Tamandua tetradactyla: one gene and its partners. The protein of the gene in region 1 interacts with the protein of each later gene in a pairwise test. Links are inferred from orthologs where the notes say so. Each region holds a gene or a part of one and is shown in the gene's direction. Other genes may lie near its edges.

What was found.
Region 2: the proteins of ZMYND19 (region 1) and SAXO1 interact in binary tests that used the Homo sapiens proteins (3 or more experiments, as listed by UniProt). The two-hybrid records come from large-scale screens. The link is inferred for Tamandua tetradactyla from reciprocal best matches to the Homo sapiens genes ZMYND19 and SAXO1.
Region 3: the proteins of ZMYND19 (region 1) and ENOX1 interact in binary tests that used the Homo sapiens proteins (3 or more experiments, as listed by UniProt). The two-hybrid records come from large-scale screens. The link is inferred for Tamandua tetradactyla from reciprocal best matches to the Homo sapiens genes ZMYND19 and ENOX1.
Region 4: the proteins of ZMYND19 (region 1) and NAB2 interact in binary tests that used the Homo sapiens proteins (3 or more experiments, as listed by UniProt). The two-hybrid records come from large-scale screens. The link is inferred for Tamandua tetradactyla from reciprocal best matches to the Homo sapiens genes ZMYND19 and NAB2.

The regions. Positions count from the first base shown.
Region 1 is NC_135328.1:130,322,554-130,330,386, forward strand, and holds the start of ZMYND19 (zinc finger MYND domain-containing protein 19), read left to right. Parts: upstream 1-4,826; 5' UTR 4,827-4,904; coding exon 4,905-4,955; intron 4,956-5,500; exon of another isoform or gene 5,501-6,297; intron 6,298-6,334; coding exon 6,335-6,394; intron 6,395-6,617; exon of another isoform or gene 6,618-7,289; coding exon 7,290-7,396; exon of another isoform or gene 7,397-7,833. UniProt on the Homo sapiens protein: May be involved as a regulatory molecule in GPR24/MCH-R1 signaling.
Region 2 is NC_135328.1:78,081,329-78,088,208, forward strand, and holds the start of SAXO1 (stabilizer of axonemal microtubules 1), read left to right. Parts: upstream 1-3,879; 5' UTR 3,880-4,193; coding exon 4,194-4,240; intron 4,241-6,880. UniProt on the Homo sapiens protein: May play a role in the regulation of cilium length. Stabilizes microtubules at low temperature.
Region 3 is NC_135330.1:115,493,509-115,500,660, forward strand, and holds the start of ENOX1 (ecto-NOX disulfide-thiol exchanger 1), read left to right. Parts: upstream 1-4,133; 5' UTR 4,134-5,101; intron 5,102-7,152. UniProt on the Homo sapiens protein: Probably acts as a terminal oxidase of plasma electron transport from cytosolic NAD(P)H via hydroquinones to acceptors at the cell surface.
Region 4 is NC_135333.1:124,235,560-124,243,163, forward strand, and holds the start of NAB2 (NGFI-A-binding protein 2), read left to right. Parts: upstream 1-4,589; 5' UTR 4,590-4,783; coding exon 4,784-4,866; intron 4,867-6,265; coding exon 6,266-7,139; intron 7,140-7,592; coding exon 7,593-7,604. UniProt on the Homo sapiens protein: Acts as a transcriptional repressor for zinc finger transcription factors EGR1 and EGR2. Isoform 2 lacks repression ability.

The DNA.
Region 1 (7,833 bases):
GATCTACTTATTTTCCCATAGTGTTTATTGCTTTCTAACACAACATACTGCTTAGTTATGCATATTTTCTGCCTCTCTCACTGGAATGTGAACAGGTTTCTGTTTGTTTCGTTCACTAAAGTACCCTCTAGAGTCTATAACACCATGGTGGATGCTCAAAGCTGCTGAGCAATGCCACAGTGACCAGTGGACTTGGCAGTAGAGGTTATCAGGACTTCAACAAGGGTAGTTGGAGTGGAGTGGTGGGGATGGAAGTCAAGAGACTTGGTGTGCTGGTCAGAATGGCCCCCAAGGTTGTTCCTCATCCCTGGAACCTATACATGAGTCATATTACATGACAAATGGGACTTTGCGAATGTCGCAAGGGTTACTGATTTGGTTTCCTAGGCTGCTCCAAGCAAATACCATGAAATGGTTCAACTTAAACAAAGGAATTATTTTTTCAAAAGTAATGATTTAGTAACTATAAGCAAGACAAAGCAATATAATTGTGCTTCTTCTGCAGACTTGGGACGATGAAATGTTTAGTTCCAATTTTTCCCATATAAACTTGAAACAATATTCATATAGAAGATACATCCTCACAAACAACTGATGGGTGATGAACACACACCAAAGTTTGACCAAAGCAAAACAGAAACTGAAAATTGTTGGGGTTATTCATATTTAAATTCAACATGCTCACTCTACTTAAAAATTAAAATCTGTAGATTTTAATAATTTGCTTCCACTTTTGTGCATAACAAATTGCTTCTACTTCCAGATATTATGGAGAAGGCATATAACTATAAACTATGGGAATTTATTTGCTTACTGCTAAAATCTGAGAAAATGTCCAAGTCAAGCCATCATTAGGTGAAGCCTTCTTCCTGAAGACCGGCTGCTGGCGATCCTGGGCTCCTCTGCCACATGGCCAGGCACATGCCGGATCTGCTGGTCTTTCCCTTCTCTTCCAAGTTTTGTTTCATTGCTTTCAGCTTCCTGCTTCAGGGGCTTTCTCTCTCTGTTTATTTCATTAATAAAGGACTCCAGTAAGAGGATTAAGGTCCATTCTGATTGAGGTGGGTCACACCTTAGCTGAAGTAGCCTCGTCAAAAGGTCCTGCTTACAAATGTTAAAATAAATTTAGTTTGAAATGCTAGTGATCAATGAAAGGGAGGGGTAAGGGGTATGGTATGTAAAATTTTTTTGTTTGTTTGTTTTACTATTCTGTTGTCTTTTTATTTCTTTTTCTGAATTAATGCAAATGTTCTAAGAAATGATCATGATGATGAATATGTAACTATGTGATGATATTGTGAATTACTGATAATATATGTAGAACGGAATGAGTATATATTAAAAATGTTTGTGTTTCTTTCTTGTAATTTTTTTTTTTAATTAATAAAAAATTAAGGAAAAAAGAAGGTCCTGCTTACAGTGATTCACACGCACAGGAATGGGTTAACGTTAAGAACATGTTTTTCTGGGGTATATACAGCTTCAAACCACCAGTCAGTACCTGAAAATACAGAGATTATCTGAGTGGGCCCACTCTGATTACATTAAGCACTCAAAAGCAGTTAACGTTCTCTGGCTGAAGGAAGGAAGATGAGGCAGAAGGGGAGGTTAGAGAGATTCAAAGTGTGAGGACTTAACCTGCCACTGCTCGCTCTGAAGGTGAAGGGGTCCATGAGCCAGGAAATGCAGGTGACCTCTAGAGTCTGAGAATGACCCAAAGTTTAAAAAAAAAGCAAAGAAACAGGCACCTCCTACAACCACTGTCAAAGACCTGAAAGAGGCTAGAAGTGGATTCTGCCCCAGAGCCTCCAGAAAGCAGCTCCAAGGCAGCAAACTCTTCGGCTTGGCATTGTGAAACCAACCAAAGCCACGAGGACTTCTGATATATAGAACTGGGAGATGATAAATTTATATTTTTTAAAGCCACTACATTTCTGGCAATCTGTTATGAAACAGTAGAAAACACAGAGGAGGCAAGAAGCACAGACAATTCTTTCAAGAATATGTGCTGTGAAAGGCAGCAGGAATATGGGGCAGTAGCTGGAGGCAGATGTGGGGCCCAGGGTTTTCCTTCTGGGGAGGGGGGGATGTTGGTGGGAGTGGGAGCTGCAAGAGAGAGAACTGTCACCTCACGTCATCCTTACACATCACCAAGAGGTAGGCAATGCTGTGCTCATTATACTTGGGGACTGAATTGAAACCCAAGAGGTAAAGTTGTTACATTGCTCAAAGCTGTCCAGGTACATGTCCCCTGCAAGACAGGTGGACCCTGCCCATAGGACCTTGCACTGACATCTCTGCTCTCCATCACCTGATGCTTTTCTCCTGCTGTGGACCTAGTTCTGCTAGACATGCTGAGGGCTGAACTTCCCCAGGAGCAGCACCCAGCCCATGACTGCCGAGGTCAGGGGTGAGTACCCCTCACCCCTTGGTGAGGTAACCTGAGAGTGTCCTGTGCTGCCTCTGAGGCCCCAGCGCAGCCGCTGTCATTGGGCTGGATCAACAACGCTCCCTGCTGGCTACCCTTCTCTCCTGCATGGCATCTCCAGGCCCTCCCATTGCTTCGTGTCCCCTCACAAACGGCTGGCACTCAAATTCCTATTACATGTTGACCTCTGGGGAAACCCACATTAAGGCACCAAAGCTTTCCCACCATTCTACATGAGCACCCAGCTGCCTCCACCACATAAAGCCCAACCTCTTTATGGCACCTGTGCTGGTTTGAATTGATTTATGTACCCTAGAAAAGGGGTGTTTTAATCCTAATCAATCTTGTGGGAGCAACATCTCTTCTAATCCCTATTCAGCACTATAGTTCAGAGACTTGATTAGGTTATCTCCACGGAGATGTGACTCAATCAATTGCGGATATTAAACATAATTAGATGGAGACGTGTCTCCACCCATTCTAGGTGGGTCTTGATTGGTTTATTGGAATCCTATAGAAGAGGAGACATTTTGGAGAGATTTCCTTTTGAGAACAAGTAGGGAGCCACAAAACCATGACAGAAGGACGAGAGACCCACAGGGACTACCAGCCAGTGACCTTTGGAGATGAAGAAGGAAAACGCTTCCAGGAAACTTTATGAAGCAAGAAACCTGGAGAGGAAGTTAGCAGATGCCTTGTTCGCCATGTGCCTTTCCACTTGAGAGAGAAACCCTGAACTTCATCGGCCTTCTTGAATCAAGGTATCTTTCCCTGGATGACTTAGATTGGACATTTCTATAGACTTGCTTTAATTGGGACATTTTCACAGCTTTAGAACTGTAAACTTGTAACTTATTAAATTCCTCTTTTTAAAAGCCATTCCATTTTTGGTATATTGCATTACTGCAGCTAGCAAACTAGAACAGCACTCTAATTCCATACAGAACTTTCTAATAATCTCACTACGTTTATGTCAATCTGAGGTTGGCAGGACATGTGCTGCGAGCAGTAAGGACCAGATCCTCCATCTCCACCCAGGCCAGGACCTGCCAGTCCTTCCTGTCCTCCAGGACATTCAGGGGAACAGACAAGTCTCAAGGGATCCACAGATGGAATTTCTGGTCTCTCACAAAAAACCCTTTGCAGATCTTGTCTCTAAAACATAACCCAGCATACAAGAAAGGAGGTTTGGGGGATCACCCTCTGTTGATGGACACAGGACCTGCCCCACCTCAATCCTGGCAGTGGGGCGGGGAAGAGGGGCAGTACTGCTCCTGTTTCGATCCCGACGCATGCCAGCCAAGGCCCCACTTAGCTCCTCTCTGAGAGGGTCTCAGCTTTCTTGCTGGAGTCTGTAACCCAGATGGTCCCTGGAGTTCCTGTTTCCGGGAAGAACTGGTCACAGGACTTTCTGTCCCCAGCAGAAATTCTCCATCCTGGAGCATCAGCCCAGCTTACAGTGAGGGTCGGTGGACGCTGAGGATGAACTGCGGGGTTAAAGCCCCCAGATCACGTGGTGGGCCTGACCTAGCCTCCGCACAGAGAAGGGAGGAGAGCAGGCAAACCAGGAGACACGAGGACAGTTACATGACCTGGCCAGCAAGCAAGCCCCGAGGCTCAGATGGGCAAGGCCTTGTGCTGCCTTTCCAGAGGCACCCCTCCCGCCTCCCAGCGTCTGGCCAAGGCTTGCAGTCCGTCCGCCCCCTCCCTCCACCTTCCCACCGCCAGGGCCCACGCGTCTCTCCCAGTCTCCTCGTTGCTCCTGACTCCACACAGCTGCCTCAGGATCCGTCTCGAAAGGACGTCGGGGCCTCCGCTGGACACAGCGCGGGAGGGGCGGTCTTGGCGAGGGCACCGGCAAGGAGGCAGGGTCGGGCCGGGGGCGGCCTGGTCGGCGGGGTCTCGGCCTGAGGCCGGCGAGGTCTGGGCCTGGGACCGCATGGCCCGGGCCGGGGTCCGGCGGGGTCCGGCCAAAGGTCAGCGGGATCCCGGCCGGGGCCGCCAAGCCTCCGCCGCCGCAGCCAAAGCTTCCCGCGAAACTGACGTCGGTGCCGAGCCGGCCGCGCAGGCGCCGCCCCCCGCCCTGCCCCTCCCCCGCGCTCGCTTTGCCCCTAGGGCGCCGGCGCACTCGCCCGTCTCCTATTGGCCGCTGTGTGTCGGCGCGCGCCGGTCGGCGCGGTGCGCACCTCGTGATTGGTCGGCGGCCGCGGGCGGGGGTGTGTCGGCGGCGCCCCGCCCCCTCGGCTCGCGGCGGTGCGCGCGGCAGCGGCGGCGGCGGTGGCGGCGGCGGCGCGTGGCAGGTCCGGCGGCGGTGGCGACGGCGGCGGCCCGATCCCGGCCCAGCCTCGTCCCGTCGCGTCTGGGGCCCGCCCGAACGCCGGCCCCGACCTCGGACAAGCGCGCCGCGGCCTCGCCCCTGCCCGGGCCCCAGCGCCTCCCGGGGGAGCGGCGCTGCCGGGCGAGCGCAGGCCCGGCCATGACCGACTTCAAGCTGGGCATCGTGCGGCTCGGCCGGGTGGCCGGGAAGGTGAGCAGGGAGAGGGCGCGGTGGGAGCCAGGCCAGGCCGGGGTCGGCGGGCGGCGCGGTGCAGCCTTCTCGCAGGGCGTGCGGCGCGGCGGGCTCCGGCCTCCGACCCAGGGCTCTCGCCTTCGGCCCGCGGACGCACCTGGTTGCTGCTGCTGGTCCAGCCCCGCGGGCCCGCTGCGCGTGCGGGACGCATGGCCTGCCCTCGGAGCAAGCGCCCCGCGCCTCGTCCCGCTTCACCTGGCCCGGTCCAGGTGTGCCTGCTATCTGGGGCCTGTACCTGCGGCCGCACGGGTCGAACGCAGCGCCCTTTCTGAGGCAGTGCCACTTCCACACCTGCTAAAGGGGGTCCGGTGTGGACTGGTGGCCAAGTTCTGCGTCTCTCGGTTAACAGGGGTGCTTAGGGGCTCGTTTTAATGCTGCCAAGGGTTGGCCACATTTGGCAGAGCGTCCACAGGTTTCTCCAAAGCAGGGACAGGAAGCCAGGGTCTCCAGGGCCTCCCTCTGCTGCCATCCGCTCTTGGGCTTTTTCATTCCCTTTACCTGGCCCTAACCTTTACGTGTTTGTCATTGGCACCTGTGAGCCGGGAGGCTTGGCTGTTTCCAGCGGCTGGCCCCTGCAGCTGTACCAGCCACTTGACCTTAGCCTGGGTGGGAACCCGACTCCTTCACCAGTGGCAGAGATTTCTGGTGGGAGAGAGAAGAGGCAGTGTGCAGTCAGATGAAGATGAAGCCCTTTCAGATCCGCTAGCAGTAGTAACTTTCCAAGAGTTAGACCAGTCATGTGACCGTTTTCTTCTTTTTCTGCAAGAGCTCCAGCAGCAGCTGTTGGGGATGTAGTTTTCTAAGCGAAGCTTGAGTTCCCCATTAAATTCTGAGACCCCTTCAAAGGGAAAGATATCAGTGACTGATGCCGTATCTCTCATCACTTGAATCTCTTGTTTGGAACATTTCGAATAGACAGCTAACCAGAATAGTTTATTGAACACCTGTGTACTTACCACCCGTCCTAATTAGTTAAACAGTAACTGAGACATCCTGAATATTCTTCTCAGTCATGCCCCCTCCCTCTGCTCCAGTGAGCCCACCATCTCTGACTAGGTAGAAGCGAGCAGTCAGCCTGATTCAGTGTCACTCTCTTGGGGAATCTCATGTGCATGGAATCAGACTCCTCTGGACAGACGAAACCCTCTCCCACTTGTATTCTAACACATCCACCTGTGTCTTACCCCATGCCAAGGTGAGTCCTTTGTCGACCTGAAGGGGCCTTTAGTTATCTTCTCCTTCACGAGAAACCACAGTTCATCCTGCTCTTGGCCATAATTTGAGTGCCTCATGCTGATCCCTAGTGTAATGATTTGAAACATCTGGTTAATTTCTAGACGAAGTACACACTGATAGATGAACAAGACATCCCGCTGGTGGAGAGCTACTCCTTCGAGGTAAGGACAGTCTGGCCCTTTTCTGGTCTGCTTTCGGTTAGCCCATGGGAGCCTTGGGAGGGCCCGGAGAAATGAGTTTTCTGCCTTGTGCTATGGGAGTGAGAGACCCCAAACCCAGATATATCCTGCCTCCCATGTCCAAAGTCCTGGTCTCTACCTGGAGTTCCAATGACATTGCCCACAGGACCTCCCGCCTGACCCCTGGGATGTGGCCTTTCCTCACCTCTACTCTGGGTGTTAACTTCTCTTCTTTAAAAAACAAAGCAAATTTTGTCATTTTTGTGATAAAACATCTGTGAAATTGACTATTGTCCCTGTTCCTTAGTGAGACTCTGCCGTGTACCTCAGCCTGTCTTCCTGCCTTGGGCTGCCAGTTCTCCTGTATGCCACAAACATCTTCCATTCTCCAATCACCTATCTGCGCCCTTGGTGCTCTCATGCCTCTCCCTGGTGGACTCTACTTGACAAACTTCTCTTCACCAAAGTGTTCCCTTCTCTTCATGTCGCTCTGCCATGTTACATTTCAGCCCTTGACATTTTTTACCATGATTGTTTGATCTGGGGGCTTGTCTCTTATTAGACTGTGAGCCTTTTCAGGGTTAGGAAAACATATTTGCCTTTGTGTCCACAGTATTTTGCAGAGTTATTCATGGGCATTTCTTGCCTGAGCAGAAGAAAGAGTAATTGTCGGACATGGTTGGCTTCTCAGTGCCCATGTGGAAAACTGCCATGGCAAGAGAGCGAGTCCTAGGGAGGGTCCCATGGTCTTAGGGACTGGGCTGGCATTTGTTTGTCTGGCTTATTTGTTTCACTTGTTTTTTTCTACAAAGAATTTGAATTGTTCCCCAGAATGACTGAGGCTTTTTAAACACACCTTTTCTTTCTTCCTTTTCAGGCCCGAATGGAAGTAGATGCAGATGGAAATGGTGCTAAGATATTTGCCTATGCCTTTGACAAAAACCGAGGACGGGGATCAGGACGGCTACTTCATGAGCTGCTGTGGTGGGTATTTTCGAGCTGCCTCTTGCTGTCTATTTATTTGTCTGCCAGTGTCCCCTCCATGAGTCCTGGGTGAGCCTGGATGCGTGCGGGGTGCTGGAGGCAGCAGTTGCCTGCTCCTGATTGAGGTTACGCATGAGACCCACTTGCCTCACCTTTGAGTCTTGGGGTTGTTCTTGGATCTTGGCCACTAACCCAAAAGAATGGCTACTGCATATTGTGTTACTTCGGGGGACCTAAAAGTCCTCGTATACCAAGTGGACTTGCCGTTGAGGCATTGGCTCCTGACAGGGTGGGCTGGTCCCTTTGCTGGGCTCACACTGAGCCTGTGGGAGTGCATGGGGAAGGGGCAGCTGGGGTTCTGGAATGTTTGGGAGCACTTAGAGGACCAGCTATCTCTTGGCTGTCCCTCGGCTGTGCGTCTGGGTTCTGTCCTTGGC
Region 2 (6,880 bases), about 52 Mb from region 1:
TCAGAATCACCTGGGTTTTTTTTGCTAAAACTAGAGAGTCAATGTAGGAGGGTTCAGGCCAGCAATTTGAAGTGGCTCTCAGGAGCAAGTAAGTTAGAGAAACACTGCATCAAGGGGAGGTTCTCAAAGCCTGGTCCTGGACCCAGGAGAATCAGCAGCGCTTAGGAACTTGTTAGAAATGAATATTTTTGGCCCCACACATGCCTTTCTGAATCAGAAACTCCAGGGGGTAAGAGCCTGGCAAACTGGTGCTTATCAAGCCTTCCAGGTGATTCTGATGCACAAAATCTGAAAACCAGTGCTTCAAGGGTCCACATTACCACCTGGAAGATTGCGCACCGTATGACCAGTAGAGGCCTGGCGCTTTAAACTGCTTTGGTCTCAAGGGAGCAAGGTCTGTGTGTGGGAGCAATTCTCAAAAGGCACTTGAAGCCACAGGCGTGGATTTCCCCAAGGAAGATCTGGAAAGGGCATTTTTTTTTTTATTAATTTTTAAATTTAAAAAAAAGACTAGAAAGAAACACAAACATTCTTAACATATGGTCATCCATTCTACATATATAATCAGTAATTCACAATATCATCACATAGTTGCATATTGATCATCATGATCATTTCTTAGAACATTTGCATCAATTCAGAAAAAGAAAAAAAACAGAAAAAGAAATCAAACGAAAACAGAAAAAAAAATTATACATACCATACCCCTTACCCCTTCCTTTCATTGATCACTAGCATTTCAAAATAAATTTATTTTAACAATTGTTCCCCCTATTATTTATTTTTATTCCATATGTTCTACTCGTCTGTTAACAAGGTAGATAAAAGGAGCATCAGACACAAGGTTTTCACAATTACACAGTCACATTGCGAAAGCTATATCATTATTCAATCATCTCCAAGAAACATGGCTACTGGAACACAGCTCTACATCTTCAGGCAGTTCCCTCCAGCCTCTCCATTACATCCTGAATAACAAGGTGATATGTACTTAATGAGTAAGAATAACCTCCAGAATGACCTCTCGACTCTGGAATCTCTCAGCCATTGACACTTTGTCTCATTTCACTCTTCCCCCTTTTGGTCCAGAAGGTTTTCTCAATCCCTTGATGCTGAGTCACAGCTCATTCTAGGGTTTTTCTCAATCCTGTGATGCTGAGTCTCAGCTCATTCTAGGATTTCTGTCCCAAGTTGCCAGGAAGGTCCACACCCCTGGGAGTCATGTCCCATGTAGACAGGGGGAGGGTGGTGAGTTGGCTTGATGTGTTGGCTGGAGAGAGAGGCCACATCTGAGCAACAAAAGAGGCTCTCTTGGGGGCGACTCTTAGGCCTAATTTTAAGTAGGCTTGACCTATCCTTTGAGGGATTATGTATCATATGAACAAGCCCCAAGACTGGGGGCTCAGCCTAGAGCTTTGGTTGTCCACACTGCTTGTGAGAATATCAAGAATTCAACTTGGGGAGGTTGAATTTTCCCCTGTTCTCACCATTCCCCGAAGGGGACTTTGCAAATACTTTTCCACTCACTGATTGAACCACTCTGGGATTCATCGGGTCATCACGGTGGAAAAATCAACAAAATCTCATGTCCTACCCAAGGTTCCATGTACTTATGATGTTCAACCAAGCTATCCTCATAAGTTATATTAGGAAATGCACTAGTCAAAATATAAATTTTGCACCAAATAAACATTTTTTGCTTTAGTCTCACACATAAGTTGAAATTTTAAAATATTAATTACCATCTATTTTCAGCACCCTGCAGTAATGACATTCCTTTGTGCTTCCTCATGCAAAAACATTTTTTAAATTTGCACATTTAGTTACTATCATGATACACTCTAGGCATTCCTAGATTATACCATCTCAATCTTTAACATCTGTCTTTCTTTCTGATTTCATTTATGTCCCCAGCCCTCCTCCCTCAATCATTCTCACATTCAGCTTCATTCAGTGTTTTAACATAATTGTATTACAGTTAGGTAGTATTGTGCTGTCCATTTCTGAGTTTTTATATTCAGTCCTGTTGCACAATCTGTATCTCTTTAGCTCCAATTACCCAATATCTTACGCTATTTCTATCTCCTGGTGGTCTCTGTTACCAGCGAAACATTCCAAGTTTATTCACTAATGTCAGTTCATATCAGTGAGACCACACAGTATTTGTCCTTTTGTTTCTGGCTAATCTCACTCAGCATAATGTCCTTAAGGTCCATTCATGTTGTTACATACTTCATAACTTTATTCTGTCTTACAGCTGCATAATATTCCACCGTATGTATATACCGCCGTTTGTTTAGCCACTCGTCTGTTGATGGACGTTTTGGCTGTTTCCATCTCTTTGCAGTTGTAAATAATGCTGCTATAAACATTTGTGTGCCAATGTCTGTTTGTGTCTTTGCCCTTATGTCCTTTGAGTAGATACCTAGCAACGGTACTGCCAGGTCATATGGCAATTCTATATTCAGCTTTTTGAGGAACCGCCAAACTGCCTTCCACAGTGGTTGCACCATTTGACATTCCCACCAACAGTGGATAAGTGTGCCTCTTTCTCCACATCCTCTCCAGCTCTTGTCATTTTCTGTTTTGTTGATAATGGCCGTTCTGGTGGGTGTGAGATGATATCTCATTGTGGTTTTGATTTGCATTTCTCTAATGGCCAGGGAAGTTGAGCATCTCTTCATGTGCCTTTTGGCCATTTGTATTTCCTCTTCTGAGAAGTATCTGTTCAAGTCTTCTTCCCATTTTGTAATTGGATTGGCTGTCTTTTTGTTGTTGAGTCGAACAATCTCTTTATAAATTCTGGATACTAGAACTTTATCTGCTATGTTGTTTCCAAATATTGTCTCCCATTGTGTAGGCTGTCTTTTTACTTTCTTGATGAAGTTCTTTGATGCACAAATGTGTTTAATTTTGAGGAGTTCCCATTTCTTTCTTTCTGTCTTCAATGCTCTTGCTTTGGGTGTAAGGTCTAGAAAACCGCCTCCAAGTATAAGATTTATAAGATATTTCCCTATCTTTTCTTCTAACACTTTTATGGTCTTAGATCTAATGTTTAGGTCTTTGATCCAATTTGAGTTAACTTTTGTATAGGGTGTGAGATATGGGTCCTCTTTCATTCTTTTGCATATGGATATCCAGTTCTCTAGGGACCATTTATTGAAGAGACTGTTCTGTCCCAGGTGAGTTGGCTTGACTGCCTTATCAAAGATCAAATGTCCATAGATGAGAGGGTCTATATCTGAACACTCTATCCGATCCCATTGGTCAGCATATCTATCTTTATGCCAGTACCATGCTGTTTTGACCACTGTAGCTTCATAATATGCCTTAAAATCAGGTAGCGTGAGACCTCCGACTTCATTTTTTTTTTCTCAGGATACTTTTAGCTATTTGGGGCACCCTGCCCTTCCGGATAAATTTGGTTATTGGTTTTTCTATTTCTGAAAAGGAAGTTTTTGGGATTTTAATTTGTATTGCATTGTACCTGTAAATCAATTTAGGTAGAATCGACATCTTAACTATATTTAGTCTGGAAAGGGCATTTAAGGTTAGTCTTCTGGAGGTCAAGGGATGCATTTCTATAAAAAAAGAGAACCACGGATCCTAGAGACAGAAAATGCCACATAATGTGATGGCAGTGGCCTTTTCAGCTTTTCTGTACAGGCGATCGTGGCATTTGCTGATAAGCGCACCCACGAGCTTTCCAAAGTCCACCTTCCTTTATGTTTTTCCAAGGTCCAGTGGGGTAAATCTTGTCCTGGGCTTTCCAAGTGGGGTACTGGGGACTCCCTCACGTCACAAGTGGCCCTTGTGATGTCATTGCCATCTAGATATGTGCCCTTCCTGGCCCACGACGTCACAGAGAGTCCTCATTTCCCCTGGCGGGACACCGCTCCACGTGCATGGGTCCGGGGCGCAGAGGCTGGGGCGGCCGCGTGCATGGGGAGGTGGCCAGGGCTGGCGCGCCATCCGCCCTCCCTGCTGCCCCTCGTGCAAGGCCAGCATAAGGAAGGCAACAGATCACAGGGCTTTGCAAAAGGGCCTCTTAAATTTTCTTTTGAATAAATACGGAGAACATTTGCCCAGGACCTTGAGACTTGGTGTGCCCCCAGTGAGGCGGCTGGGGCACACCGGGCGGCAGGGGCGGCAGGGGCGGCAGGGGATGTTCTACGTGGACACAGGTCCTTAGGATGGCCCCTTCGAAGAGGAAGTGCATCTGCGACTTGTGCTCTTGCGGGTAAGGTTGCCCGGCCCAGCGCAAGGCGGGGGGCTGGGCGTGGGGTGTGGGCCTCTGGAGGTAAGCGAAGCCACTTTCTGGAAAGCTAGGCTGAGGACTCATCTTGTGTTGATTAATCAGGCAGCATCGCGGTGGATTCTCCACCTGTCAACCATTATTATTAGGCTGCAGTGTTATGGCAGATTCATCGCCATCCTTACCGTCAGCTAGAGTTTAAAGCTCTGGGGTTGAATCAATCCTGGCGAATGGGGCTGCACCCCCTTTCCCCTGTTCAGCCACTTCACAGCTGTGCGGAGGTTGCAACATGGACGCAGCTCGGCAGAGAGTTTGTGCTCCCTTCCCTGTAGCTGGAGAAAGTATCAGATGGAAAATCCCTTGTCCAGTCTTGTGGGTTTTTTTTTTTTTTTGGTTGTGCTTTTCGGAATGGAATGGAGATGAGGAAGAGGGTTTCTTTAATGTAACTGAGTTTCTCAGATAAATTGTGGTTACTTTGTCAAAGAAGTATAAAGTTTTTGTAAAACTTGTTTCCATGCGGTGTAAAATTGAAGGAGAATAATGAAAGGGAGATTGCTTTCACAAGCTATCAGGTTTCTCCTGGCCCTTTGCCTTTAGGACCATGCCTGGGGTGAAGCACAGTTACGGACAGGTGGTCCCAGGGAGACATTCTCCTCATCAGAGTTTTGTGGCTGCCTACTCAGTGTCAGGCACACTGGGAGCTGAGCCTCTCACCTGCTTCACAGGACAACTTGGGGAGCCACCAAGATGGGGCAGCAGAGAAGCAACAGATAAGAGGGTGGGCACTGGGCCAGCTCTCCTGTGTTGCCACTCCTTGTGGATCTAGGGCAGGTAACTGGACTTCTCCATGCCATATGCCATAGTTTCTTCTTCTGTATCACCTGTGCCTACCAGGTAGGATTGTAAGGAATAAATGAATTATGCATGTGAGCCTCCTGAAATCTGAAAAAAGTGCTTTCCAATTTAATATGCTTCATGAATACAACAAAAAATGACATCATTGTAGACGGAGGAGGCGGGGATTAAAGGACTCACTAAAATCTGTGTTACAAGGTTTGAAACCTTGTACCATCTCTAGCATGGCTGAATGGTTCTCAACCCTGGCTGCTCATTAGAATCACCTGGGGTGGGGGTGGGTTAAAGCTACTGTCAGTTGCTCAGGCTGCTATATCACAATCTCTGATGGAGGGCCCCAGGCAGTGCCCTTTGGGCGATTCTGACCATTTGCCAGGATTGGGAACCCCTGAGCTGGATCACAAACTTGTGTATGCCTTTTTTTGTATGCTGTATGGCGGGCGGGGATGGTCACGTTTCATTATTTTTCCATGTGAGTATCCTGTTGTTGCAGCACCATTTGTTGAATTTTTGCTTACTTGTGTGTTTTTTGTTTGTTTGTTTGTTTTGGGGAGTGCATGGACCAGGAATCGAACCCAAGTCTCCCGCATGTCAGGCAAGAATTCTACCATTGAACTACCCTCGCACCTCCTGTGCCTTGTTTTTAAGCTTTGTTAAGTAGGACTCTCTTCCGTAGACTTGCTCCTGTAACCTGTGGCTGCCTAGAAGGGCCTCCCTGGATTTCAACTCTGTCTGGACTAAGGGAAACCACTGGATTCACCCTGGGATCCCCCTCCCTGCTCCATAGCTTGGAGACTGTACTAAGGGTGTGGTGGGGGTGCTATTCACAAAAACAAAGGGGCTATCGCCTTTGTTTCCCACCTCTCGGGGATCATTATTCTTTGCGTGATGTTTGCATGTCTTGAAAAGCCTTATATCATATATTTTGTACAGTTTTTAAAGTTTTCCCTGTTACTCCACCTTTGCCCAAAATGGAAGGGGAGAACGCATTGTTCCATTGGCGTTGCCTCCTTCCCTTTCTCCTGCTCTTGGGTTTTGGGATAATGCCTCAAGTAAGCTATTTGCACTCACATTCTTGTTTCAGGATCTGCTTTTGGGGATGCTCAAGTGAAGACAGCTTTAATTGTTTCTTTTTATTTTGTGGTCTGCCTTAGCTGGCTTAGGTTTCCCTTTTTATCTAAAGGTCCCCTCCATCCAGGGGCCTTTACAGCACCCCTTCTGCCTCCTCCTTTTCTGGGAGCAGACCCCCCTCATTCCCCACTCTCTCCTGCAGTCCCAATTTCCCTTTCTTCATTAGCTCTTTCACTTAAGTGTCCAAACATGGGAAGAGGCCCTCTATCTAAGAAAAATATACACTTATTTAAAAGCAGCAAACCCCCCCAAAAAAGTCCCCTAGTTCTTCCATGTGCTATTCAGTTCTATTTTTCTCCCCATGGTCAGTCAGATCTAACGAACCAGTGACAAACACCTGCTGCCTCTACCCCTCATCCTGGCTCGCCCTGATAATCCTGCAGCCTGCTTCATCTCCTTTACCCTGGGGGAACAATTTTAATTCAGCCAGCATTTTCTTGGGCTTCCCGTGGTGTCCAATATTGGGCTCACTGCTATGGGGTTCATGGTGTTTGGTGGTCCTTGCCCTAAGGGCGTCTGGAGTGGGGTAGGCTATAGGACCTGGGAGGATTTCTCCTGCTGGGCTGTCACTCCTTGATATGTTGTTCTAGTTTGCTAGCTGCTGGAATGCAACACACCAGAGATGGTTTGGCTTTTAAT
Region 3 (7,152 bases), on another chromosome or scaffold:
ACTAATTTTGAAATATCAAAAATATATATTCCCAGTGCCTGCCCATGAAATATTTATTTATATTTATTTATAATAAATATATACATATTTATTCATTGCTATAATGTAACAATATACACATTGTTCAGCATTATATGTACATGGGTATGACATGAGGTGCTTAAAGACAAAGTCCAATTTGGGGAGCTACTTATTTGACTGATTAAAAATATTTATTGAACACTTTGTAAGTGTTCTATATTATTCTAGACACTAGGTATACTAGGTCAGAAAACAAAATTGCAGTTCAGACTTCACAGAGCTGAACAGCTAATGAGGGGTGAACCAGTTAAAAAACATACAAACTAATGAATATAGAATTGAATTTCAATTGATGTTATAAAAAAAAGATAAAGTAGCCTTAAGATAGGGTAATGGAAGTGTTACTTTAAATAGGGTGGTCAGGGAAGACCTCTCTGAGGAGGCCACATTTAAGGGGAAACGTGAGTGAATGGAGGGATTATATATCCAAGCATATATCTGGGAGAAGAGCCTTTCAGGCAGAGGAAACCAGCATGTGTGAAGGCCCAGAGGCTAGAGTGTGCTTGATGCATTTGAGGACAGCAAGCAGACCAGATAGCTGTTTCAGAGTGAGCTGAGCATAGGGGAACATGGTCGGAGAACCAGGAAGGGATGGTGGTGGAGCTGATGCGGAACGGTCACATTGCAAACATGTTTTCCTGGACTCAGCCACTGGAAGGGAATGTGAGAGAAATCAGTGTGTCAAGGATGACTCCAAAGAGTTGGCTTCAGCTCTGAGGTGACTGGTGGAATCTGCTCTCTATCAAGATGAGACCCAGAGAGTCATGCATGTCCAGGACAAGGAATCTGAGGCTGGAGCCTAAAGATCCAAGAATCCTGCTACATAAATATGCTTGACACTGAAAGGAGCTAGGGAGTGTGGGCAGTTGGAAGTTAATCAGTTTGTAGTGTCTCTTTCTAGACTATGGAGTGAGAACTTGTACATAGTCACAGATTTTTCAGGTGACACTATCAAAACAGTGAATTTAGTAAGAAAGCTTGAGGTTAACTAAAGGGGTCTGAAGAGCGAGATAATAATATAAAGAAGGCAGGTGGGTGGCCCTCGTACTTTCCTGAAACTTATGCTGAGGGTGTGGCTGTAGGGGGTAGAAAGGAAGGGATAGATTCCATAGGCACAATGAAAATAGAAAGGGAGGAAAAAAATAAACTTGGTTAGAACCTCAGTGTTAACTGAAGAATAGTAATGAATTTGATTTTTAAAAAATGATTTCCTCGTTGATTATGTTTGTTGAACACCATGTAATCTGAGATATCCTACACATGAATTACTTGATTGGGAAGGAAGGTCCGATGATTGAGGGACTACATATTCCATGCTTTTTCCATTCTATGGCATTGATTGATGACGAATGGTTAGACTTACTTTCTCTGAAGCCAGAAATATACCTCAGATACCAAGTAGTTCAATTATGTTCTAACATGGGGGTATCTCAGAGGCTACCTGAAGGGAGGGGAGTGAGAGGGAAGGGGAAAGGACAGGGATCCTTATCACTTGTACCACACCAGCTCCACATTGGCTGAAAGCCTTTGCTTCTTCAAAAGATTTTGCCTGAAGAAAAGTTTAGCTATTGAAAGGGAGTCATTGATCTAGTTCACTATCCTTATTTGTCAGTTGAGAAAAGAGTCTAACTGATTTGACTTCCTCAATTTTGAAGGATTATTTTACACTTGTAATCTTACACACCTGCCTCTGTGGTCATTAGAGCAGATACTATAAACCACCATTTAAAAAATATGAACTCAGGTTTCTTGCCTTCTAATCTGGACCTCTTAGAACTACATCCTGGTTCCAGATTTTCTGGCATGGGGTCAGGCGGTCTTGAGGCTACATTTTGAGACTAACCATACTAGATTTGCTTAAAGAAACAGCCCTTACAGCAGGTAGGTCAGGAATTATTATTGACCTTTCTGAATAGGAAACAGACCCAGAGGTCAAAATGACTCACCCGAGGATGCGTTGTAACTGTGATGTGGTTGAGACCCAAATTCTGTGTTCTTTCCACAAAACCACTGGTTCTCCAATGTAGGTCTACTAACAGTGACTTTGCATGTTGAAGTTTTTCCATGATCCATAACAAAATGGGGAAAATGTGGGTGAGCATTGTGAGTGTTTTAAATAAAAACTCTGTTCATTCAGAGATCCTATTTTTAATATTAAAATCCCTTCTTTATGAAATGATGATTAATTACTATATATAGTAGCTGTGTTTTTTTAATGGCCTGAAATCCATTTCCAAATCTGGAAACTAAAGCTTAATGCATTGACTCTTTGGGTCTCCATGAAAAGTCAACATGATACAAACAGTGGAGATCTGCCTGCCACACCTGTCCTAGGTGCCTAGGTGTGTTCTCCAGCCACGCATGTGGTAGGAAGTGTTTTAGACAAGATGTTAGGAAACCTAGATTCTAATCTCATCTCTACTGTGAATTAGCTATGTGACTTTGGCTAATCACTTCCTTTATCTGGACCTGTATCATCATCTAGGTTTCTGTGTGCTTACAGATAATTTCTGTATTTTGAAGTAAGAGAATTATTAAAATGGATTGGAGGTTATTTTCCTTCATTATGAGTAATTCATCAACTCTACCATATTTGTACAAAATGACTAATACAATTTTTTTATTAAGCCCAGTACACAAAAATCTCATTAAGCCAATACTGGCTTTCCCAAAATAGTATTTTATTCAAAGCAAATGCTATTCCTTAGCAATCTAGATCTCTGGGGTTTAGTAGTAAAAATATTGAATTATCTGAATCTAGTTAATGGAAGACTCTTTTTTTCCCCAATTACCCTATTTTTAAATGGATTTTTCCTTATACTTCAAGAATTGGATGTGACTGAGGTAGATATCAAAGAACATCAGCCTGTAACTGATCAGAAAAAATGGATTCACCTTTATATCCACAGTCTTCCTCAAATGCTCTTGTCCACAGATAAATTATCAGATATGTAGGATTTGATTCAATTCATGCTTCTATTTAAATCAGTCTCCATGGCATCTTATAAATACTTGAATGCCACAGCAGCTTTAAAACACTAATTTTCATCGAGGGCAACTCTTCTGACTTGCAGCATTTATTTTTTCATGTTTTCAGTAATCTCATACTGAGCCCATGCTATCTGCTGAATATTGCTAGGTTTCATGGACAGAACTCCAGACTTCAGGGAACTCCTGGTCCAGGAAAAGGGGTAGGCTTGCAAATATATCATCATAATAGCATGTAAGCGCTGCTAGAAGATTTCCATTCTCAGTCCTTCTTTACACTCACACTTCTATTCCTGCTCACTCCCAGCAATGGCCTTCTAGGACAGGATGCCTCTTTGGTGCAAGCTGGAACTTCAGGGCAGAAGATTCAGTGGTGCCCTCAGTCCCTTATATAGAGGTGACTCCACAGCTCTCCTCTTGGGTGTAAGGATAGTCACTGGTGCCATGGTAAAGAGAATTTGGGCACAGCCCCTCTTGAAGAGAAGCAGGAATGTGGGATCCAGATCAGTCATAGTTAAGAAACCTGGGATGAGCCTTTAGCATCAGTCACTGGACAGTCCTGACTGCTTCTCTTTACAGGCCTATAATATCCTATATCATCACACCAGATTGTACCCAAATATGTCTTGTCAGGGTGGCCATCTCATTGTTCTAAAGTCGAACATGTCTCTTTGATGCTAAGTGTTTTATTAATCAGCTTCCTTTCTCTTCCCCAACTCTATAATATCAGCAAAACAATGAAGTTTATTGATTTGTGTTTTCCATAATACACACCCAAAATGTAGAATCAAGTCATTCTCTTATTATAGGCAAAAGCCTGTTTCCAGACAGGAGGGTTCAGTGTACCTCATACAGAGGGTCTGGACAAAAGTCAAATTATGTTTATTTTTCCAGCAGCCATCACTGAGAGAATGGGCTAGAGCATGTTCCTCCAGGATTTGTTTGGAAAATAGTGGCATGTCCTCTTGTATCCCTGTACTAAGGAAACACTATGTTTCAGGGAACGTATATATACATTTACAGATTCCTAGAAGTTACTATGAAAGAGTCTCCCTCCCTCCCTTCTCTCCTCCTTCCCTGGCTTATATCTAAATCAGAAGAAATCGTATTGTTTGGATTTGGTGAATTACAAGGGTTAGAACAAGGCCCTATTAGTTTGTTTCTTTCTGCTTCTGTCTTAAGTGTGGGTAGTAGGGGTGAGGGGTGGAAAGGAAAGACTTTGAGTTCATGGGAGGGTAGGTGCCCCCCCTCCTCTAGACCCCTCAAATTATTATTGACTGTGTATGTTTTCTACTTGACTGTGCCCTGAAATGTTTTTTTGTTGTTTGACTTCCCCCACAGTATTCTGGCTCCTTACAGACAGGAATTATATCTTATATGAGAACATCTTCCACCCGAGTCAGGATAATACTGTTTGTGTAGTTGGGTATAAGAGAGTGGAATGAAGAGTCAATCAGTGGAGACCTACCTTCTCTGCATCCGGTAACCCATGATAATTCCAGACAGCCACATCTTCTAGATAGATAGTTATCTTTCTTTACACATATTTGGCATCAAATCCTATTTTTAAAAGCATAGCAGCTGATAGGCATAATTATAGCCTATGACTAATCACTCTCTCTTGGACTCCAGGTGGATGTACAAACATCTCTTTCCCCCCCAGTTCAGTCAAGCCCCATTCTGCCTCTGCCTGCCCCACCCAGGTGACGTGAGTGCCTGCATCACAATTCACTCTGCCTGGCGGTAGGTTGAAGGGGCAGCCAAACGATGTCAGCCTCTTTATGATACTGCATCCTCCCCCACAACCTGCCTACCCTCCCACATCATCCACTGGACCCAGCCAAGGTGTTTGGCTCCTGTTCTCAGGGAGCTAGGAGACATGAGCTTTTAGACTCAAGACAGAGCTTGAATGCCAGTTCTATCCCTTACTAGCTTTATGGTCTTGGAAAAATGGCTTAGCCTCACTTCTGTCATCTATTGAAATGAAGATAATGAAACCTACCTCACAGAGTTGTTCTGAAAATTAAATAAGGTAAGCAATAAATGTTGATTTTTTTCCCCTTTTCTCTTCCCTGAAATTATTACGGGAGAGAGGATAAGGGAACATCTGTGTGATCTTTTGTGTGTGATTAGTAGGTGCAGTCTTTGTAGTTGTACTCCATGAAGTAATATCACAGTTTTTGTGAAATTGCAGATTATTTCCTATTGAATTGGCATAGATGATGCTAAAACCCTCTGCAGATAATGAAGGAAAAAAGTATAGATTTCTGTGTTGGAAGAAAAGTCTCTTTAGCTTAAGTTTGATTAGCATTCATAGTACTGAACTGTTCTGTATTGTGTCTATGAAAAGGAAGGTAGTCTAAAATTCTTATACTAGGTCCTTAAAACTACTTCTCTACAAGATAGGGCTCTTGGTATATGCAGTTAAGTGTAGCTGGAGATTAACTTTGCAGAAGCATGAATCTCTGCTGTCATATAGGTGCCCTTCACCTCTAAAATGGTTATACTGGAAGAATTTTAATTGCTCATCTTCTGAGGTATTGCGAAAGCAGCCAGCCTTTTGGGGCTCATCTGTGGTGATCTTAGCAACCCTGATTTTGCCAGCTCACTTTTTTTTTTCCTTATGTGGTACAAATATGCCACACTGAAAAGATATCAGAAGTTTAAATGATTTATCAGCTATCTTTATTTAGTTAATTGTGTCCCCCCTCCCCCCCCCCGTGGGCTACAGAGGAGATTGTTGATGGAAGGATTGATTTCACGGTGTGATGGGCAGTGCATGGTGTTGGGCTACCTTTATCCTTGTGGTTTCTGACATGGAGCCTGTCCTGCCCCTGCCTTCCCTGTGTCCCCAACATTAGCCTCTCTTCCTGCTTACTGCTGGGTTCATCAAAAGGCGTTCTGGGCCCTGGACCTGCTTCCTTTCTCTTCCCCAACTCTGTGCTTACATCATGCCTACCCTTTCAGTGCCACTTTCTCCTCAGATGCCTTCTTCTCTGCCTCGCTGATGGCTACCATGGCAAAGCTGCCCTGGTCCTATGTCTGTGCAGTGCCTTTGGTGGTACTGATGCTCATGGGTCCCTGTCCTCCCTCCACACCGAGATAAAAGACTGAAGAGAAAGCAGATGTCTTTTTTTTGATCCCTCCAGCTATCCTAGCTGCCTGCACATAGGAGGAGATAAGTCAGTACTTGCTAATTATATTGGGGAATTTTTAAAAGAATTTAAATAAAACAGTCAGGAAAGTATAAAAACAAACTTGCCTTCTTGCTTCAGGGAATTTAGTAATAAGGTAATAAGAGCTTTGGGATAACTTGGATGCATGCAAGGTGACTCTTATACTTACGGGAATGCAATAGACAACCAGGGGAAATGCCAGTAGAGTTCGTTCTTGCAAAGGTTGCTAGGAAAGGGACTCTAAGGCTCACTTCTGACACCCTAGAGAAGGCTTAGTAAAAAGATGAGTACTAACAAGGATGAGGGTAATGAGTCTAGATCACTAAGACAGTGGGGAAGCCAATCAGTAACGTTGTCACAATTCTAATCTAGAGTTCATGTGTTTATTCTACTATTTGGTGAGCATTTTAAAAATCATTTACTATGGGCTAAATACTCTGCTGGGTTCTGGGAACACTAAGCTGAATGAGGCCCAGGCTGGTGTGTGGGAAACTCATATAGCCCAGTGGAGAGGCAGATACATTTGTGGACACTTAAAAAGCAATGTGAACACTCAAGGATGAAGACTCATACATATCATGGGGGGCCAAGGAGAGACTCTGAATTCATTGGAATCTGCATCCAGTTTCTCAGTCTAAGTCAGGAATATAGAGGGGAGGCACCTTGTAGAGATGGCAAGGACATTAAGCATGAATCTGGGGTTGTAAGCAGGGCTGATTATGGCCCAAAACTATAAGATTATGGCTCATAGGTCAGGAAAGGAAACATCAAAGGAGATTTTATATTATAAAGCATTCCTTAGGCTTTCTGTTCTTGGTTTGGCCTCCTCTTGATACTGACTTCTTTCTCTGCCTAAGGCCCGTTCCTGGAATCTGCTCTGTTGTCTCTTGGTGTTTGCTTTCTGAAG
Region 4 (7,604 bases), on another chromosome or scaffold:
AATGAGTGATGCAGCTTGCCATGTCTGCAGTTCAGCATCTTTTATCCTTGTGTTCGCATATGTCATGTATCTAGCAATGTTAGTACTTGCAGAAGTAATCTGTCTTCATTACTTCCCCAAAACTTTTACTTTAATTTACTGGCATTATCCATGTATCCAGGTGACGCCTCCTTTCCTATATAAGTTGCAAAACATTGAAATGTTAATCTTCCTTGCCCTTTCCCTTTGTCCCTGCAGGACCACCACCCCATACTCCTGTTGCCTGCAGTTAGAAAACCTAGGAAAAGTGATAAAGGAAATCACCAATCACATGAAAACCCTAGCCCATGTCCTGGTTCAGACCTGGAACAGCTCAAACCCAAAAACCTGTTCAGAGGGTGGTTCTCAACCTTTGGAGAATTCAAAACTCTAACTGGAAGTGTTTTAGTGCTGCTTAGTATGTGTCTTATGTTCCTCTGCCTCTTCCCCTGCTTATTAAAGTATAAGTAGAACTATAGAAGCCTTAGTAGACAGAAAAACTGCCTCCCACTTATTTAATCTCAGAGGCCTGCACCCCTCGAACCATCATAAAAATAAACCAGTCCCTACAAATGAAAACGGTGCTGCATCTGTAAAATAAAATGTGATGAATAATATCCTCAAAAGGGTGGAATGAGGTTGTTCATAAGAGTGACTCCAGTTATTGTTGCATTTACTGGCTGGAATGACTTTATAAATTTGTGTATTTTCAAGAATGTGTAAAAACATGCTATCTGAAAGAAAATGTCTACTGTACCTGCCTAGGCATGCCCAGTTCTGCCCACTTAGCCAGACGAAGTGTCTGTTTTCCAGATAAGAAATATCAGCTAAAAGAGCTTGCAACTAACCCCTATCCATCCCTATCCATTCCCACGGTAACTCCCGCCCCACAAGCTAGAGGAAGTGTTTGCTTACAACACCATCACTGTCCATTCCCATGGTGACTCCCGCTCTGGAAGCTGGCCTATATAATCTTAAAACAAAAGACATTCGGGAATCAGACTTTGGACTGGCGTCACCTGAGACTACCAGCAAAAAAAAAAGCTTATCCACTTCTCAAAGGCTCCAATGCTTGGGTGAAGTTCAGAGTTTTTCCCTACTACAGTACCTTTCTATTACCAGGAAGGATTTCAGCCTCTTCCTTTAGATCTGGGTGTAAATTCAATGACCAAAAAAGTAGACATTTTAGAAGGTCAAGGAGCCAAACTTGTGAGACTCCCTGGAAGCTGATTTTCGACAGATGTGGAAAACCAACTTCTCTACTTAACTGCCTTGTCTAGGTTTAGCCCCAATTGGAGTGATATCTACAGGGCTGCCCTTTTCAAAGCTCCTCAGGCCTCAAAGCACCATCATCAATTCATTCAATTCTGAGGGCCCAGCCTAGAGAGGTCTTGGGCTGAGGGTGAAACAAACTATAATTGAAAGAGTCCAGAGGCCGTGGAGGTGGGAGGAATAATCTCTGCGTGGAGGACTGGAGAGGATCTAGGAAGCAGGATCCCGGAAGGTGACATGTGAGCCAGACTTTGCTGAGTGGGAACTGGTTTGGTGAAAACGTGAGGGGAGGAATAAACACTGAAATCTGCACGATGAAAGTCTACGCGTGGCAATGAAAATCCTTCTGGTTTTCCTCTTCCTTTACACTTCCACCCCGTTTCTTCCCTACCTCTTCCTGTCTTCTTGGAAAACTGGGACTGAAGATACTGCTTTGCTGCAGAAACGCTTCCTGAAAGAGACCCGCCTGGACCATAAAATAAAGTACTAATCCTTGATTAAATGGGACATTTACTCTACTTGCCTCAGAAAACACTGAGGGAAAAGGCGGGGGTGGGGTGGGTAGGGGAACGGGGCCGGGTAGTTGAGTCAGGTAGGAAAGTGGTCGGAAAGAGAAAAGGAGCCACTGGAGAGAATGGGATGCACGGCGAAAAGACCAGGAAGATTTTTTTGTATGGATTCCACTCCCCTCTGTCATATCCCCTCCAATCTGTCTCTTATCTTTATGCTTTTCTATAGCTTCTCATAGTCTCATTCTCTCTTTGTCTCTTTCCCTTTTCCCAAAGCTGGAAATTCCTTGTTCTCAACGGAAGGGAGTGGGAGGGAGTTGGGGGTGATAGGAGTGGGAGGGAAGCGAAGAACAAACATCTCAGCAGCTCCGGCTGCGGGGGCGCTCTGGGCCTCGACGGGGCCCGACAAGTCAATGATTTTAACATTATATATCACTTTTTAAAAATCCACGCTTTGGGACTCATACAAACCTAGAGAGAGACAGACACACATATACAAAAGTAGATGTAAAGAAACAAAAATACATAATTTCAGGGTAGAGAGGCACAAACCAGTGACAGCGTCTCAGATTTACTTAGCATTTTACAATTTACAAGCAGTTTTCACATACATTGTCTCATTTCAATCTCAGGACAACCTTGAGAAACAGTTATAAACACTCGGGAGTTTAACTCCTTCACACACATACACGTTGGCACCCGGACACCCCACCCCCACCAGCTCCCGCAGATAAGTGGGCAAGCCCAGTCCGCGGGACTTTTCTTCCCACCTTCCTCTCTAGCCGAGTACCTGCTCCAGGACCGGGGAGAGGCCCCAGGCTCCTCCCTCGTCCTCTTTCCGAAGCTGGAACCCAGGCGCGCGGGCCTAGTAGGTTCCCACCCCCGGCTCCGCCCTCCTCCCTGGGCCAGAGTCTCCCTCCGGATCCCGGGGCTCAGCACCGCCCCAAGGGGGCCCGGGTGGGAGGGAGAGGGGCGCCTCTAACAGAGGCTGCGTGGGCGGAGGATGTGCGTCACGAGGAGCGTGGGCAGGTGGAGGGAGGGGGCACATGGAAACCCGGGGCCAGCGGCTGGCAGCCCAGGATCCAAAATAACCATAGCTGGAGTGGGGGAGGGGCCGTGCCCACTGACATCAGAGGAGGGTCGGGGAGCGTGCCCGGACTGAGCCTGTCTAGGCGCGCCTCTGGTTGCGGGATGGGGAGTCGGGAGGAGAGGGGGGCAGTGCTCGTTGCTACAAGCCCCCCACTGTGTTTGGTGCTTAATGAGATGGGAAGGAAAATATTAACTACCGAAATCCATCCCCCACCCCCCACCCCCCACCCACGGCCAACAACCTCCCTACCTCATCAGAGACCTAAAGGCCCGGCCGGAATGCAGAACCGGCCCCCGCCCACGCCACCCACGCTCCGCTAAGCTCTGGACCATTCAAAAGTGTGGAACGGCGGGGTGGGGCGGAGCTGAGGTTTCAGACTAGGGGGAACCTTGTCTCTGGCCTAACCATTCTCTTCCTACCACTCCCACCCCTGCCCCGCCCCACCCCTTTTTACCCCAGGGCCTTTGGCGGCTGGGCGGGGCCCTCAGAGCCCCCGCAAGCTTACCCCTCCGCCCCGGCCCTCCCAACCGTGGGAGGGAGTGAAATGGAAACCAGATGGGGAAAAACTAAGGGGTAGGAGACGGTGGGTTGAGGAGGGAGCCTGGCTCCTTCAAGGCGCTCCTCCCTCCAGTTCTTCCGTAGGAAGCCACGTCGAACGCTCCAGCCTCAGGCGGGAATTCCACTTGACTCTTCCCGGCAAGACCATTTAATAGACGTCTCCAGACGGGTATCTTCCCTAATACAGGTTTGCCACACAGAATTGCTAAGGGGCGGGTCCCCCTCAACAAATAGGTGGCGACAGGTAGGGGAGGGCGGAGTGTCTCCGCCCCCTGCCTGACCTACGCGCTAACAACTTCCGACCCGTTTAATCTACGCACGTCTAAGTGGTGAACTCCAGCATAACCACCCCAATTCCTGTTCCCCAAACTCCTGCAGCGACGCGAGGCAGGGACGGAGCTAGCCTCGTTCTCCGAAAGTGGCCTCCCCAAATTATTCCTTTGGGGCTGAATAAGGGCGCCGGAACATCTAAGGGAGTCTCACTCAGCCTCACGCTCGGAGACTTGCCCTAAGTGCAAACCGCACGGGAGTCAGCTGCGCGCAGAAAGAGCCGCGCGCCCAGGAGCCTCCGCCAACTTTCCTAGCTCCCTCCTAACATTCACACGCACAGCACCGCGAGACCTGAGTGTGGGCAGCGAACGTTCTTGAGTTGTTTCAGCGCGTGTGCACTTCTCTGTCTTTGTGTACCTGTGCGTGGTTGTGACACTCGGCTCTCAGCTCAGAGAAGTGGGGGGGGTAATGTGGCCGGCGGGGAGCTCACGTGGGTACGTGGGCGCGGAGAGGACCGGCTGTGCATCCGGCGTGGGCGGCTCGGGGCGACCTCTCCCCGCCCGCTGGGTCCCCAAGCCCGCCCTCCACAGTCCGTTCTCGGTCACCTCGGTCCCCAAGTCGGCGCCCCGGCTCCGAGTCCCCGCCCCCGCTTACTGCTCCGCAATCCCTCCCCCCCAGTCTCCGCCTCCCTCAGCCTCTCTGCCGCGGTATCTCCGCGGCCGAGAGGCCCGGGTGCCCGCCCCTCGCCCCCGGCCTCCGCCCCCCGCCACCGGCTCTGCCCACGCCCTCCGCCCGCCAGCCCGCCAGCCAGCGCAGCGCCGGGCCTCGCTCCCCGTGCGTCCTGCGGAGGCGGAGGCACGGAGAGGCGGCAAGCGCTGCTGGGGAGGGTGGGGGGGGCGCAGAGGCACAGGCAGAGGCGCGGAGGCTCGAAGAGAGGAGACGTGGAGGGAGGGACGGAGCCTGGACAGCGGCGGACACGGCTTCGCGCGCCGGGAAGAGCGCAGCGCGCACCGGGCGCCGAGTGCCAGGCACCGAGAGGGGCAGCCCCGGTAGTCTCCGACCGTCCATGCACAGAGCACCCTCCCCCACAGCCGAGCAGCCGCCGGGCGGAGGGGACAGCGCCCGCCAGATCCCGCAGCCCAGACTCAAGTTAGTGAGCAAAGGGAAGCGGTGGGAAGTGGAGTGGGTGGAGCCGGACTCAAATGGGGTCCAAAGGGCGGAGGTCGAGGGAGGAAGAGGGAAAGCGGGACGGGGGTGGGGGGTGGAGACTGATGGAAAAGGGGGTAAGTCTTGGAATTAGGGGGCCCTGGGAGGGGGCAGGGATTTGGGATAAGAAAGAGTTGTACCTAGTTCCCCCTCGCCTTTTACTCTGTGAGCATGACCTGGCAGGGAACCGGTCAAAGAATGCGGAAGCTCCCCCCCCCCCCCCGCCCAAGTGCCAGGGAACCCCGGGAGCTCTAGGTGGCAGAAGTGTCCGAGGAGGGCCTCTTCAGCTTGTTTAGTCTGACGTTGACTCCCACCTGAGAGAACCGGCGCGTTTGAGCCAAGGAAGCATCTGCGGGACACTGGGCAAGCAGAGGATGCGTTAAGCTCTCTCTTCCCATTTCTGTGCCTTTATTCACAGCGGGGTGGAGGTGGGGGCAACTGTTGGAGTGCTGCCTCTCCCGCCTTGAGCCACTCCCCCACTCTATTTGAAGATGTGGGTGGAAAATGAGGGAGAGGAGGGTAGGCGAGAGCCCCCAGGCATTTTTTCGCCCACAGACGCTACCGCTGTGGGAGGGTGTGGGGGCGGAACGGCCCCAGAGCAGAACAATTGAGTCGCCCCTCCCTTACCACCCCCCCATGCCTGAGCTGAAGGAACAGGCCTGTTAAGCAGATGAGAAGGTCACTGCCAGGAGAGGGGCCAAGTGTGGGGCATTGGGCAACCCAGAAAGGAGGGGAAGAACTGGGGGTAGTGAGCAAGGGTGCCTTGAGAACACCTAAAGGAAGAGGAGGGAGCTAAGGAGAGAGGCTCATATGGTTCACTGAGTGAGGCAGGGAAGGGGCCACACCTCCTTGTTAGCCATCGGGGCAAAATGCAAAATGCCATCAAGGATTCAGCCATCAGTGGGCTCAGTGTCCACAGTGGGAAGAGAGGTGGTCTTACAGTCACCTGAGCATGGGATGTCGCCCAGGTGGTGTTGAGAGCTGCTGGGTGTTTAGGATGAAGGTGAAGACTGTTCTGAGGGGCACAAAGGTTCAGCAATTCCAGGGATGTGCTGGCTAGCTTGGGAGCTGAAGGGTAAAAACTGAAGATAGGGACTTAGAGTCTTTGACTTCTGTAGGGACTGAGCACTGGTTTTAGGTGCACCCAAGCAGTCTGAGATGGCACTGGATGATCTAAGGTTTTGCAGAGTGTCTGATTCTCATAGTCTGTGCTTAGGCCTGGGCAGTGGGCAGAGAGAGCATTCAAAAGAAGGGAAGACATGAAAGGACAGTTGTGGGTATGGGATGGTCCCCAGCAGAGGGACTTATACCGATTGCCTCACTCTGTGTACCTCCTCCGCAGGCCCAGTGCCCAAGCTATGGCACTGCCTCGGACACTGGGGGAGCTGCAGCTGTACCGGGTCCTGCAGCGTGCCAACCTCCTTTCCTACTATGAGACCTTCATCCAGCAGGGAGGGGACGACGTGCAGCAGCTGTGCGAGGCGGGTGAGGAGGAGTTCCTGGAGATCATGGCCCTCGTGGGCATGGCCACCAAGCCTCTCCATGTCCGTCGCCTGCAGAAGGCACTGAGAGAGTGGGCCACCAATCCAGGGCTTTTCAGCCAGCCGGTGCCTGCCGTGCCCGTCTCTAGCATCCCACTCTTCAAGATCTCTGAGACGGCGGGTACCCGGAAAGGGAGCATGAGCAACGGGCATGGCAGCCCAGGGGAAAAGGCGGGCAGTGCCCGCAGTTTTAGCCCTAAGAGCCCCCTGGAACTTGGGGAGAAGCTGTCACCGCTGCCAGGGGGCCCTGGAGCAGGGGATCCCCGGATCTGGCCAGGACGGAGCACTCCAGAGTCAGACATTGGGGCGGGAGGAGAAGAGGAGGCTGGCTCGCCACCCTTCTCCCCACCTGCAGGGGGAGGAGTTCCTGAAGGGACTGGGGCTGGGGGTCTGGCAGCAGGTGGGACTGGGGGTGGTCCAGACCGACTGGAGCCAGAGATGGTACGCATGGTGGTGGAGAGTGTGGACAGGATCTTCCGGAGCTTCCCAAGGGGGGATGCTGGGGAAGTAACATCCCTGCTGAAGCTGAATAAGAAGCTGGCTCGGAGCGTGGGGCATATCTTTGAGATGGATGATAATGATAGCCAGAAGGAAGAGGAGATCCGCAAGTACAGCATCATCTATGGCCGTTTTGACTCCAAACGGCGGGAGGGCAAGCAGCTCAGCCTGCATGAGGTGAGGGCCTTGGGCTCCCAGGTTGGTTCTTGATTCCTAAGCCTCAACCCACTCACCTCCAAGAATCTTAGTGCTCCCCAAGCTTACCCATGCCCCCCAAGCTTACCCATGCCCCCCAAGCTTACCCATGCCCCCCTCCCCGACGTATCTCAACCCCAGCAGCTACAATGTTTCCATTCTTAACTGACGGGAAAGCAGAGACATGGGGGACCCAGCTTTCCAGCTCGGTGTCACTCAGGACCCAGTAGTAGTGGAGGCGGCCCTGGAGCGTTTCTCAGAATTGTAGGTGCTGGCCTCTGTCCTCCTCCCTCAGAAAACTCCTGTATAGCGTAAAAACCAACCAGACATCCTATGGATGGGCTCCTCCTCTGATGGTGGAAAGCTGTAAGAAGGCCCAGGAAAGGCAATGGGGGGAATTAGGGTTCTGACTGCCCTGGCTGCCCATGTCCACAGCTGACCATCAAT